3 linked regions of the Solanum lycopersicum genome follow. Each later gene encodes a partner of the first gene's protein in a complex. Links are inferred from orthologs where the notes say so. Each region holds a gene or a part of one and is shown in the gene's direction. Other genes may lie near its edges. The genes, in order: SNF1-related protein kinase regulatory subunit gamma-1, GAL83 and SNF1-related protein kinase regulatory subunit beta-3.

Evidence for each region.
Region 2: SNF1-related protein kinase regulatory subunit gamma-1 (region 1) and GAL83 share a complex: the UniProt entries of both Arabidopsis thaliana proteins name them as parts of the probable heterotrimeric complex. The link is inferred for Solanum lycopersicum from reciprocal best matches to the Arabidopsis thaliana genes KING1 and AKINBETA1.
Region 3: SNF1-related protein kinase regulatory subunit gamma-1 (region 1) and SNF1-related protein kinase regulatory subunit beta-3 share a complex: the UniProt entries of both Arabidopsis thaliana proteins name them as parts of the probable heterotrimeric complex. The link is inferred for Solanum lycopersicum from reciprocal best matches to the Arabidopsis thaliana genes KING1 and AT2G28060.

What each region holds. Positions count from the first base shown.
Region 1 is NC_090802.1:58,706,560-58,710,591, forward strand, and holds the start of SNF1-related protein kinase regulatory subunit gamma-1, read left to right. Parts: upstream 1-1,200; 5' UTR 1,201-1,415; coding exon 1,416-1,587; intron 1,588-2,670; coding exon 2,671-2,843; intron 2,844-3,266; coding exon 3,267-3,464; intron 3,465-3,567; coding exon 3,568-3,843; intron 3,844-4,032. UniProt on the Arabidopsis thaliana protein: Regulatory subunit of the probable trimeric SNF1-related protein kinase (SnRK) complex, which may play a role in a signal transduction cascade regulating gene expression and carbohydrate metabolism in higher plants.
Region 2 is NC_090811.1:69,120,207-69,124,304, forward strand, and holds the start of GAL83 (SNF1 kinase complex anchoring protein), read left to right. Parts: upstream 1-1,277; 5' UTR 1,278-1,297; coding exon 1,298-1,504; intron 1,505-3,523; coding exon 3,524-3,702; intron 3,703-3,790; coding exon 3,791-3,953; intron 3,954-4,098. Other genes in the region: uncharacterized protein, read left to right, coding at 1-249. UniProt on the Arabidopsis thaliana protein: Regulatory subunit of the probable trimeric SNF1-related protein kinase (SnRK) complex, which may play a role in a signal transduction cascade regulating gene expression and carbohydrate metabolism in higher plants.
Region 3 is NC_090810.1:59,798,347-59,802,521, reverse strand, and holds the start of SNF1-related protein kinase regulatory subunit beta-3, read left to right. Parts: upstream 1-1,354; 5' UTR 1,355-1,494; exon of another isoform or gene 1,495-1,587; intron 1,588-1,820; exon of another isoform or gene 1,821-1,836; intron 1,837-2,096; exon of another isoform or gene 2,097-2,099; 5' UTR 2,100-2,163; intron 2,164-3,988; 5' UTR 3,989-4,001; coding exon 4,002-4,055; intron 4,056-4,175. UniProt on the Arabidopsis thaliana protein: Regulatory subunit of the probable trimeric SNF1-related protein kinase (SnRK) complex, which may play a role in a signal transduction cascade regulating gene expression and carbohydrate metabolism in higher plants.

The sequences.
Region 1 (4,032 bases):
TTAATTTTTAAACGACAGAAACATTAATTTTTATGACATATAGCATTTATATGTATTATTTATGACATAGTGAAATAGGCCAGCGAGTTATACAATTTAGACCAGCGAATTATACAATTGTATATGTATAGCAAATTATACAGTTTTATGTTTGCTATGGAGCGCAATTATGCAAAGTTTGTTATAGCATACAAATATAAATTTTTTATTTGCTATAGTGAAAGTTACCCTATTATTTATGATAATTTTGAAATATAATTCAGAAATACATATGAGGTGTCATAATTGATTATGAAAGCGTTGCATTGTCCACGTAACGCCCCCTGATTTATTTGTTTATAAAAAGTGGCCCTTCTGCAAAACCGGATAAGTGTTAGGCTTTGCTTATTTTAATGGTTTTTAGTAAATTCTGAAACAAACAAATACTAATTAATCATTTTTTTAATGGATAAGAATAGAGCTCTACCCCAATCATCCACTTTTACCGTTCTACTTCTCATCTATATCTTCCTTCCTAATAAACATCTATTTCATTTCTCACTAAAACTAAAATATTATTAATTAATATATTAATTTTCCGAATAAATAAATTACCAAATGAGTCTTGACTAAAATATAAATGATATCAATTAGCAAGTCTTATTTTATATTTATACTGATAATAAATACCTTTTTATAATTACAAGAACTTATAAGATATTTCACTTTTTCTAGTGTAAAGTTTTTTCAATTATTTAAACCTTTATTTCCGATCAAACTTGATCATAACTCGTTAAAGAAAACGTTATCATAAGTTCATTATTAATTATAAGTTATTTTTAATTGTTTTTTTTAATTTATAAATTTATTTTTAAATATAAAGTAATTAAAAAATTTCATTAAAGGATTTATATAAAAAAATAATATAGCTAATTGAATATGTTATTTATTTCGAGTTATGAAAAATCTCAATAATTCACTTGATATAAAATATAAATAAAATAAAAGTATATTTATGGCACAATTTTATTTTCTCTATCCGCTATCATTTGTCATAATTTCTATTTTTATAATTAAATTATAAGAATTTTAATTAATATTTTAAAATATATTATTTTATTAAATTGAATTTAATATAATCAAATTTAATTTTAAAAATTAATTAAATTAACTTTCAAAAAATATAATATGACAAATAAAAGCGAACCGAACAGTACAGGTGGACATATTGATCGGGACTACCATATCATAATCTACGTGTATCTTTTTGTTAATTTTTTTTATTTGATTACTGAAATTGTTATTGGTAGTACTAATACCGGAATAATTGACAAATATATTAGTGTAATTATTGGATCACTACACTTTCTTAAAAAGCAACAAATTCTTGATTTATTTGTCAATCACTCTGTAATAACCACAGAGAAGAAAAAAAAATGGTGATGGAGGAAGGATGTCAAACACCAAGAAGCCCAGAAGCAAAAGTTGGTATGCAAGTAGAAGATCTATGGGATATACAAGAACCACAGCTTAGTCCTACTGAAAAGCTCAACGCATGTTTTGAAAACATTCCTGTTTCTGATTTCCCTCCTGCTCCTTCTAATCAAGGTTAGAAAAACATTAATTATGTTTGATTAGAGGTTGATAATTCTGATTTCTAGCTTGTGGGTGTGATTAATAACACACAAAGATATGATCTTTAGGTGTTTTTTTGGTATTTTGTATAAGAGATTCTTGATTTGGTGTGGAAAAAATGATTTTCTTGATCACTTGAATAAAGGGTGTCAAGGGTTTGATTTGTAATACATAACAGAAATGATCTTTACGTTGGGTGATGGGGTGGATTTAATGTTTTAATTAGTCTTAGTTGTAGGAACTTATTTGATTTGTGGCTTGTTTAGATTAATCAGGTTTTATTAAAAGAAGGGAATTGTTGGATGTTTTACTAATTAAATCATCAGAATGATGGTAGCCGGAGATTCTTTTATCAGAGTCAAGAATCATGATTTGTTTTTGTTGCCTTTTTATGTCACCCCTGCGTGCGTCTGTGTGTGCGTGGTGGTGGGGTTGGTGGACAAAGTTACTCGCGACCACCTTGTGCTGGTGGGAGATAACATATGCCCGGGAAAAGTAGTCTGTAAGCTGACCTGAATACCATGGTTCGTTTATCCAAGAAAAAAGTTGAAAGGAGGTTTAGTAGATCATTTTGGTTGGTTAAGTATTGTTTATTTGAGTAGAAACTACAACATACACGGTGTAACCGCGAGGTTGTTTCTGATAGACGCTTGGCTCAAGACAAAGCATATTACAGCCAAACAAAAAACGAAATAACTGAAGTGAAGGGATCATGGCAAATTACTATAGTAAACATGATAACACTTTGGAAAAAGGAACAATAACTACACCAAAAGAGTGCTATAATTAAAGTCCAAGCGACAATAGATAGTAACAGAAATCTATTTGAGTAGAAACTGAATCTTAAAAACTAGAGAAATTTTCTACACACTGAAATTCTTTGTAAGCAGCCTAAGTTGGTAACCTTCTCATGGCGTTTCATTTGGGTGCTTTATTCTCTGCAAGTGAAAAGCTGGCTTAGCAGACATTCTTTTTGTAGTGTGATTATGGTTAAAATTGCTCTTCTGGTACTACCATTGTCCGATTGATGTCAATGATTGTTATTCTTCTCTGCAGTTATTGAGATAAATTCTGATGCAACTTTGGCCGAAGCTGTTAAGTTACTATCACAGCACAAAATACTAAGTGCACCTGTTGTGGATGTTGATGCCCCTGAAGATGCTACTTGGATTGATAGATATATTGGCATAGTGGAATTCGCCGGCATTGTCGTGTGGATCCTCCATCAGGTATGCACCTATACATAGTCATAGTTAAACATGTGACGTCTCTTTCTGGGACAAGTTGGTTGGTGTTTTCCTCAATTCTCCGACAATCTCATGTGTTTTATCTCATTCACAACTATGAAATTGATGAACATGTGTTGCCTTTAAAAGTTGAGAAAGGTTAAAACAAGTTTTCAAATGGATCAAGGTCTAGTAAATTGTTGCAATGACTGGTTGATTTCTTGGATGGTCTCAACTAATAGTTATTATATTAGGAAGTCACATTTCTTCTTATTCCAATTTTCTTCAAAGAAAGTGACTTTATGAGATAATAACTATTAGTTGAGTGTCCATCAGAGAAGTCTACTCTTACAAAGACGTTGGTATTCTTGTTTTACATACTTTTCTTATCAAGATGCTCAAAACAGTTTGTGACATACTTCACAGTCGGAAAAGATGGAGGGCACCTCTGCTTTTGATTCGGTAATGAATGGAGCAGATGATACTCTCAGCCCTGCTTTGGCTGCAGCTGTTAATGGAGTCGCTTCTCCGAGATTCAGAAGTTTGCATCCTGAATCTCCAACAGCAACTTCTGGTAACTTTTTTGAGACATTAACTTCGTCAGATCTCTACAAGAACACAAAGGTTATTCTCTATAGTCAACTAGTTATTTTTCCATAACCATCTACTGATTTTCGTTTTACAAGTCTATTTGGGCAAATGTGCTGACTAACATGTGATTACTTAGGTTCGGGACATTTCAGGTTCATTCCGCTGGGCTCCATTTCTGGCTTTGCAGAAATCGAACTCCTTTCTGACAATGCTTCTCTTGTTATCTAAATACAAGATGAAGAGTGTCCCTGTGGTTGATTTAGGGGAATATAAGATTGATAACATCATAACTCAACCTGCTGTTATACACATGCTAGAAGAATGTGCTGGTCTCCATTGGTTCGAGAGCTGGGGTTCTAAGAAATTGTATGAACTTGGTCTTCCTTTAATGAAGCCAAGTAGCATCATTCAGGTATGAGCTTTTGAGTTTTGTTGCTTCTTCTGTTGAGCTTGTGGTTTGTTCTTTGCAGATTATGAAATAACTTTTCCACAATCTATGAATATAAATTATTTTGTTATCCTATCATCTCTCGGGTTCATTCGATTGCAATTTTGCAGAAAGATGTTCAAGTTTAAAATTGCTTGTGTTTCTACTTCTTCA
Region 2 (4,098 bases), on another chromosome or scaffold:
AGCACCTCTCGAAATGACAAGAATCGCAATAATAATAGGAATGTGTCATCTGAAACCTCTAGAAAACTCGATGTTATCAATGCTCGACTGCTCAGCCTTGACATGAAAGTTGATTCCAAGCCAGGCTACCCTCAAACCCTCGCCATCGGGATGGCCTCTGGTGGCCTTCTTCAAGTGCTCCCTCGTGTTGCAGAATCGGTTGTCCAAATTTGGAACTCTGTTAGAAATGCTACCAACTCAAAACAGTAATAGACCATAAATCTTGTTGGTTAGCAATGCTTTCTTGTAGTCATGGTTTTTTCTACTTCTGAAGTAGAGTTTTGTTGAACTTATGATATGCCAAAAAAATAGAAAATTGTTCTCTTAAGGCCCCATTGTTCAACCTGGTGTCATGTATCTTTAGCATGTATATCACAAATTTTGGCTGATATACAGTTGTTGTCACCCAAGATCTATGGTCTTTATTTCTACTAGATGAGCGTAACGTTTGCATACAGTCTATATTCTTTTTACTCAACTCATGAAATCACATTGAATAAATTATTAATATATAGTCAAATCGGAATTTCATATTTTATTCTCCACATTAACTTTTCTTTTTCATTTGATGATATTAAAAGTTCAAAAAAATAATTTTGTCCTATTTTCTTTATTATTAATTGTTGATAATAATAATACTTGGAGGCTATCACTATCATTGTGCTCCCAAAGCAACGTGGGCACACACCTAAAGAAGATAATATATGCACATTTATAAAATTTAGTAAATCTACACCTTCCATTTTGTACTTATCCTTTATCAACCATTTTGATCTCTCCATGTCATCAATATTTATCCTCTAAGTTTTCCTTTTATATTTTTTCACTTTCCATTTCTACCCTTTTCCACTCGCTCTTCGATCAAGAGTATTTAAAATATTTTTTTTATTTCGTAATAAGTAAAAATAAGATTTACGTATATTTCAATATATTTGTTGCATTATTTTGTAAATTATCTGCCCTCCAATGAAGAGTCTTTTTGAAACAATTCATTTTTATTTCTTAAGAAATAAGAATAAGATTGACATATATTTCATTGCATTTTTTGTATTATTTTATAGATTAGTCGAGGTGTTTTTAAGCGAAAGTAGAAGGAAGAAAAAAGTCAACTGAGGGCATTATTGTAAATAAGTTCAATAGTGTGCCTTATCTTTTACTGTATATATATAAACACGAGAACGTGACTCTTATTACTTTCTCTCTCTACATATACATACAAAATATACATATGTATATTCACTAGCATTATTGGGAAGACATGGGGAATGCGAACGCCAGAGAAGACGGCGCCGCCGGAGACGGCGACGGCGACGGTCAGGTATCGGGAAGAAGATCTAATGTTGAATCTGGAATAGTAGAAGATCACCACGCTCTGAACTCGCGAGTGCCTTCGGCTGACTTGATGGTCAATTCTCCTCCGCAGAGTCCACATCGTTCAGCTTCACCTCTCTTGTTCGGACCTCAGGTTTCCATTTTTATGCTCATTTTATCCTATTTATTATATATACATATGAAATAGTATATGTGTATGTGTTTGTTTGTGGTGTTGGTGATTCAAAGGGGATTTAGGATTTGGTGTGGAGTAGAGCTCAAATGAGGTCTAATTTGAGCTTTAGATATAGTTCATTTGTTCAATATGTAAACTTTTTTTACCTTTTTGGAGATTCAAACTAAGAATTTTGTCTTAAAAATGTATTTTTTAAAGGAAGGACAGGGTTTTGATCAATATTAGTGTACTGTTAGAGTCCTATGTTAGTTGGAGAGGGGAGGGACTGGCAATGCTTAATGAGCTAGCTTTTTGGGATGAATTAGGCATTAGTATCGTATATTTTACTTGGTATCCGAGCTGGGTATTGGCTTTGTTTATATGAATTTGAGCAATCCTCTCTTAGTGAGCTAGTTTTGGGGGTTGAGTTATACTCAAATGTCATAACTTTACATGGTATAGAGTTGGATCCATGCGCATTCAAGCTCCTTGCCCACACTACAGTTGGACCTGTTCGTGAAGGGGTGGTTAGAGTTCCACTTTGGTTGTATAATGAACGGATGGTCTGCTTATATGGACTTGGGTGAGCTAGGTTTTTTGGGTTGATTTAAACTAAGTATCATATCTTTACAAGTACCAGAAAACACAAAAGAATGGACTTGTCTCCATTTAAGTATTTAAGTAATCTAGCAAATGATGAGCGAATGCAGTGTAGGGTCTGTGCCATTTACAGTGTTCTGTCTTTTCCACATATAAAGTTTGCTCGCCATGGGGTATATACTTGAGAAAAGATGAATCATTTGCCCTTCAAAACATCTATGATTTCTTTTTATTTAAGTGCACTTCTTACCATATTGATATGATGAGAATCACAACTTATAGTACTTTCTGTTTTGTTTCCAAATGTCTAAATTTTAATTACAAAAAATGAGTTGATCTAGCCTGATTTACTGCAAAAGTTGGTCTCGTTGACTCTTCTTTAGAAAATGTGCCAAACATATTAGGATGGAAGAAGTAATCATTTTTAAATGGTTTAATCGTATGATGGTCAGCTAAGGTGGTGGATACACCCACACCCTATGCAATTACTCTGCATGTTATACTGCCTGTCTGTATGCCTTTGAGTTGCGGTGATGTGTCTGCATCTATAGGGGAGAGTTGCAAATTGATTGTAGTGCTGTTCATTATATGCTTAACTGTGATTTGTTGTGTTTTCCCAATGTAGTAGCGATGAAGTGTTCTGCTTGACACTAAATTGAAACACCTATAGGAACAACCATTACAACATCCTGATCCCAGATCGGTAATATGAATCCTCTATTTTCATTCCACTTCTATTAGGTTTTCATGCTATTCCTATGTGAATTTCCTTCAGGAAAATGCTGAATGAACTCTTCTTTCTGTTTAGTTGGAAGCTTGCATTATAGGGCTTGCCTGAGTGTTGGCCTAGCCCTCTGTTAAATGGGAAAAGGGAAAGCATCTCATGGCCTGTCTATTTGTTGGGTAAAACAGACAACTAATTTATATTAGCAAGGTACATGAAAAAACAAAAGGAACTTATGCCAGTCAAGCAAGCTATAATGTTTCTGTATAAGAACCTAGTGCATCCGGGAGCAGGTGGCGGGTGCAGAAATGTTATGCTGTAATCTTAGTAGGACTGGTGAAACCTTAGTCAATCTGTAGTCAAGTGACAGTTTTTCAGCTCTGAATAATTCACTCTTATTCACTTTGGCTGATTTTTTTTCCACCTTATATATGATGAATATTCTTCATGTTTTGTAGTCAGCACTATCACTCAAAATTTAGGCTTTTCAAAGTGGACAGAAGGGAATAATGTCCCTCTGAGGTTGGCAATTACCCAAGCAAGCACCTCTTATTTTTAGTTAACTTGGAGATAGACCAGAGCAGTTAATTGCTTCTTGGGCACCCCAATCGTACCTCATAAATACTTACGACTGACTAGTTTCGAGACTAAACTCCTCTTTATCATCCTTTCAGGTGCCAGTAGTTCCTTTACAAGGAGGGGATGGCAATCCTGTTAGCAATCAAATGTGGGGCAATGAATGCGAGGATGCCTCTGATCATTCACTAGAGGGCGGCATACCTACTTTGATAACATGGAGTTATGGTGGTAATAACGTTGCTATCCAAGGATCTTGGGACAACTGGACATCAAGGTATACTCTGATTCAACCAAGTACTAGCCTGTGATCATTCCTGTTAATGGAGTTTCTGAATGTATCCACTAATGATATTTGCTTGCAGGAAAATTCTCCAAAGATCAGGCAAGGACTATACCGTTCTTTTGGTCCTTCCATCGGGTATATATCATTACAAATTCATTGTGGATGGGGAAGTTAGATATATTCCAGAACTTCCATGTGTAGCAGATGAGACAGGCGTTGTCTTTAATCTTCTTGATGTTAATGTAAGTGAGAGTTCTGTTTCCTGATCATTTTGATACATTATCACAGCGGAGGCATCTTTGATAACTTCAGCACATTAATGCATAAACATGTGTTTTATAGTCTATATACTTGCTGTTCCCTGATAATGTGTTTGGCTCATAACAC
Region 3 (4,175 bases), on another chromosome or scaffold:
GATGTAATGTATCCAAAAGTTATCATAGTACTATCAGTTATCTATGTAATTGTTATTTGCGTTCTAAATCCTGTAATGTCGTATCAAAAATTAATCAATAGTGTAAATTTCACTAATTAATCACATTATTGCATTGATTGCTTGTATTAATTAAGGCCATGTGTATTTAATAGTAACAGTCTAAATTGTATCTTTGATATAAAATTGTGTCAAAACTTTGATATAAATAAGAAAAAAAGTAATATTATGCAATCACATATACTTGATTTCGAAATCACTATTTGAATCATATTAGGAACGAGTAAAAGTTGTCAAGTCTACTCAATTCGAAAAACTTTAAGCCAAATGATATTTGAAGTTAAGATGAATTTCAAACACTATATTTGAAATTATATTTTCTTAAAACGTTCAAATATGTTTATCTAAAATTAGACTTTATTAAAATTAACTTTGAAAGTGACACCTCTAAAGTCATTACAAAGTAAGTAAATGTGAGTTTTCTTCTTTGTTAATTTAAAGTTCAAGTTCAATATTCAAATGATTCTTTCTTTTTGTTTTGATTTATAAGTATATATGGTCCAAAGCTATTTCATAATTCAATATTATATTTTGTGGCGGTAAATGAATAGCTTGAGTTGAGTATGGACGAGTTAAAATAATTTGAACAAAAACGAATTGAATTTTCAACCCCCATATATACACACTTTTCCAACACTAATCCTATTGTACATAACTTTTGTAGCATTTCATTTAGGAAAAGTTTTGCAAATAGCAGTAAAAACAACTTCATTAGGCTTTATAGCTATCGTTTGCTAATTACGATTCTTAGCTACATGTTAGAGGCGGAGAAACGAGCGAAGAGAGGGATGAGAGAGGTGAGCCGAAGAGGGCAGAGATTAGAGAGAGGTGGATTATAATTATATATTTGCTGACTTATACATGTATATTGATTATATAATTATATATGTAACTGATATACATATGTATTTGTATATCTTTACAAGTTAGACTGGAAGAGAGAGGAGAGACTAGAAACAGAGGACAAAGAATGAAAGAAAACAAATTGTATTTGTATATCTATCATATTATTGTATATGTATATGTATAATTTGTATATATATAAGAGAGAAGAGAGAAGAGGGAGGAAGATAGGAGAGAGGCACACATAATTATAGCTAAAACAGAGTCTGCGAGTTATAATTAATTTAAATTATAACTATAATAGCTAATTAACTAGTATATATATATATATATTTATCCGCGTAATTTTCTCATTTCCTTTATTTACTTAATTTGTCATGCTCTTAATTAGGATATTTTATAACTTGGCCCATTTGCTCTTTTTGCTTAAGCCCAATTGTTTAATCTTTATGTTCCTATTTTTCTTTTTTTGGCAAAAGTTTTATTTCTTTAGAGAATTATGTTTTTTCCTAAAATACAATTTTTGTGATTTTGTAATTTTGATTCTTTTGATTCCAAGGCGGAATCTTCTAGGTGAGATACTCTATATAACCTGTAAAGAGTGTGGTTTTTTTTTTTTTTAGCTTTTGAGTTTCAGAACCCCTTTTGTTTTTCTGGCATTTTCAGGTGAAATTCATTGGTTTTAGTTCTTGGGATTACTTTTTTTTGCTTTGTGTAAACTTAAAGTTTTGATTTTTATGTGCTTCTTTGCCTGTTTCTGTAGAGTTTGTGTATAAAAAAGATCATTTTTACTAAATTCTTTATCTTTTTTTTTCTGCTCTGTGTCTTGTGGATCAATTTGGGTGTTTTTGTTTAGTAGTTCTTGTTGGGTTTATCTGATTTTTGTTTATAAAGTTTTGATTTTTCTGGCATTTTTCAGGTGAAATTCTTTGTTTTTGCTGTTGGGGTTATTTTTTTTTGGTCTATGTAGAGTTAAAGTTTTGATTTTTATGTGCTGCTTTGCCGTTTCTGTAGAGTTTGTGTTGAAAGAAATCATCTTTACTGAATTCTTGATCTTTTTTCTGCTTTGTGTCTTGTGGATCAATTTGGGGATTTAGGTTTAGTGGTTCTGGTTGGATTTTTTTGTTTGATGGATTAAAGTTTTGATACTTCTTGTGTTTCCATTGTTTTTTGTGCAGATGGGTTGTTGATTCTGGTGAATTCTTTGTGTGTGATTGAAGAACCAAAGAAAAGTTGAATCAGGTTAGTGTAGCTTGTGGACGTTAGATTAGTTTATGAATGTTTGTCTTTGTAGTTACTTGTTGTGTTTGCGAATTTATGATTGTAGAATCAAAATCACACATGCGATCAATGTGTACAGATTGTGTAGATTCCCCATGTGAATGATTTTGGATCAATTTAGGGTTTCCTTTTTTGGGTGAGGGGAGGTAGATCGTGGTACTAGGATACACACTACCCTCCCTAAACCCCACTTGTGGGATTATGCTGGGTATGTTGTTGTTGGTGCTGCTTCTGGATAGATTATTGATACATGTTAAATAAATTTTTTAGAGGTTGGCAAAGTAGTTGATTCTTATTTTAGAAAGAAAATCCTCGGTCAAGAAAGATCTGTAATTTCAAATTGACAATCTGTAGTATCCGATAAGCAGCTTTTATCCACTTTTGGTGGGTTTTGTGTTACTGGAGTTATCCTGCACTTGGAAGAAGTAGGAATTATTGGTTCTTCGTCAATCACCTGTTTGAAGAACTTTTAGGAGCGATAAATGTGTCTCAATTAGCTAGTGGGATAAACAGAAATGTAATTGAATCATGCAGCCACGTGGTGTTTTGCATCGTAGATTAATTATTAGCACTTAATCATGGAGAAGGAAAGAGTTACGTATCATCTGCCCTTGAGCATGGAAAACTCCTGGTGATTTACATGGTAGATAAGTTTTTTGCACTTAATCACAGGGAAGGAAAGAGTTCACGTAGCATCTGCACTTGAGCATGGAAAGCACATGGTGTTTAGGATGGTAGATAAGTTATTATTAGCACTTAATGGAGAAGGAAACAGTTTACGTAGCATCTGCATTTGAGCAGCGTTTCCATGTTTGTGCTCTCCCCTTAAATTACATGTAAAATTAGCTATACACGTCTAATGAGCTGTGAGTGTACAGTGTACACTTGCTTTGTATGATAGTGAAAAATGCACTACTTATCAGGAAAGATAAAAAGAGTATTTACAAGAGTGCAATACTGGATGTTTGCTTAAAAGTGTGGATACTTAAAGATGAAGCCCAATAGAAATAGGTTGAAAGGAGTTAAAAATTTGCATAGTAGATTACAAATATTAGTTAAGAGAGGGATTTGGTGGTGATTATCATAAGCACCGCTGTCATCAATGTTTAAAAGAATTTAAGATAAACATAGTTGGTCCTCGAGGAAGCTTTTGAAGTTAGATTAATCATTTTAGTTAAATTTAATTATATATGTGTGTGTTGGTGCCGATGCATACAACCTCCTACTGATGAGAACTATTATCTATCAACTTTCAGTTAGACTTCTGTGCAACCTTGCTCTTGGAACGACATTAACAAAACGAAGAATTTGTGGAATAGTTCAGTGTTTTGTTTCATTGTAAATTAACTAGTTTTGAAACGGTGGTCTACCTACCACAAACTCCTCCTTTATCTGGATTTGTGACTAGCAATTTGAGTAAGCTGACATAATTTGTTTGGGATTGAAGCGTAGTTGTAATTGCTTTTGGCTGATGGAAATGAGTTAGAAGAGAGGATTGGTGGAGTGGAAAGGCTAAACCAATAGCTAAGGCTTTTGAATTTGCTAGGACAAACTCGCGGATGGATAATTCTAACTATTTGACATCAGTTATTAAAAACTGTTAGTTGAGTTGTCACATTCGAAGACCTGCTCTTATCTTTGGCTGTATTCTTGGGGCAGTTTAAACAATATAACAACTACTACTCAATCCCAAGCTAGATTCTTTCACTTGTATTTTAATAATCTGAGAATATATGCGATATTGACGAAGTTTGAATTGCTGCATGTTTTGGATTTTTTTATTAAGGTAACCAGTTGGAATGTGGTGTGGAGTGCAAGCATTTATGGAAGTAGGGGTAAGAGTATGGAATTGTGTACGTGTTCCATCTATATATAGGCCTTGTTATTTTTAAATTTACCCTTTTTAGCGTCTCATTTTTTGTGTATGGTATATGCCATAATGGGGTCATCGGCTGATCATTAAGTCAAGATGG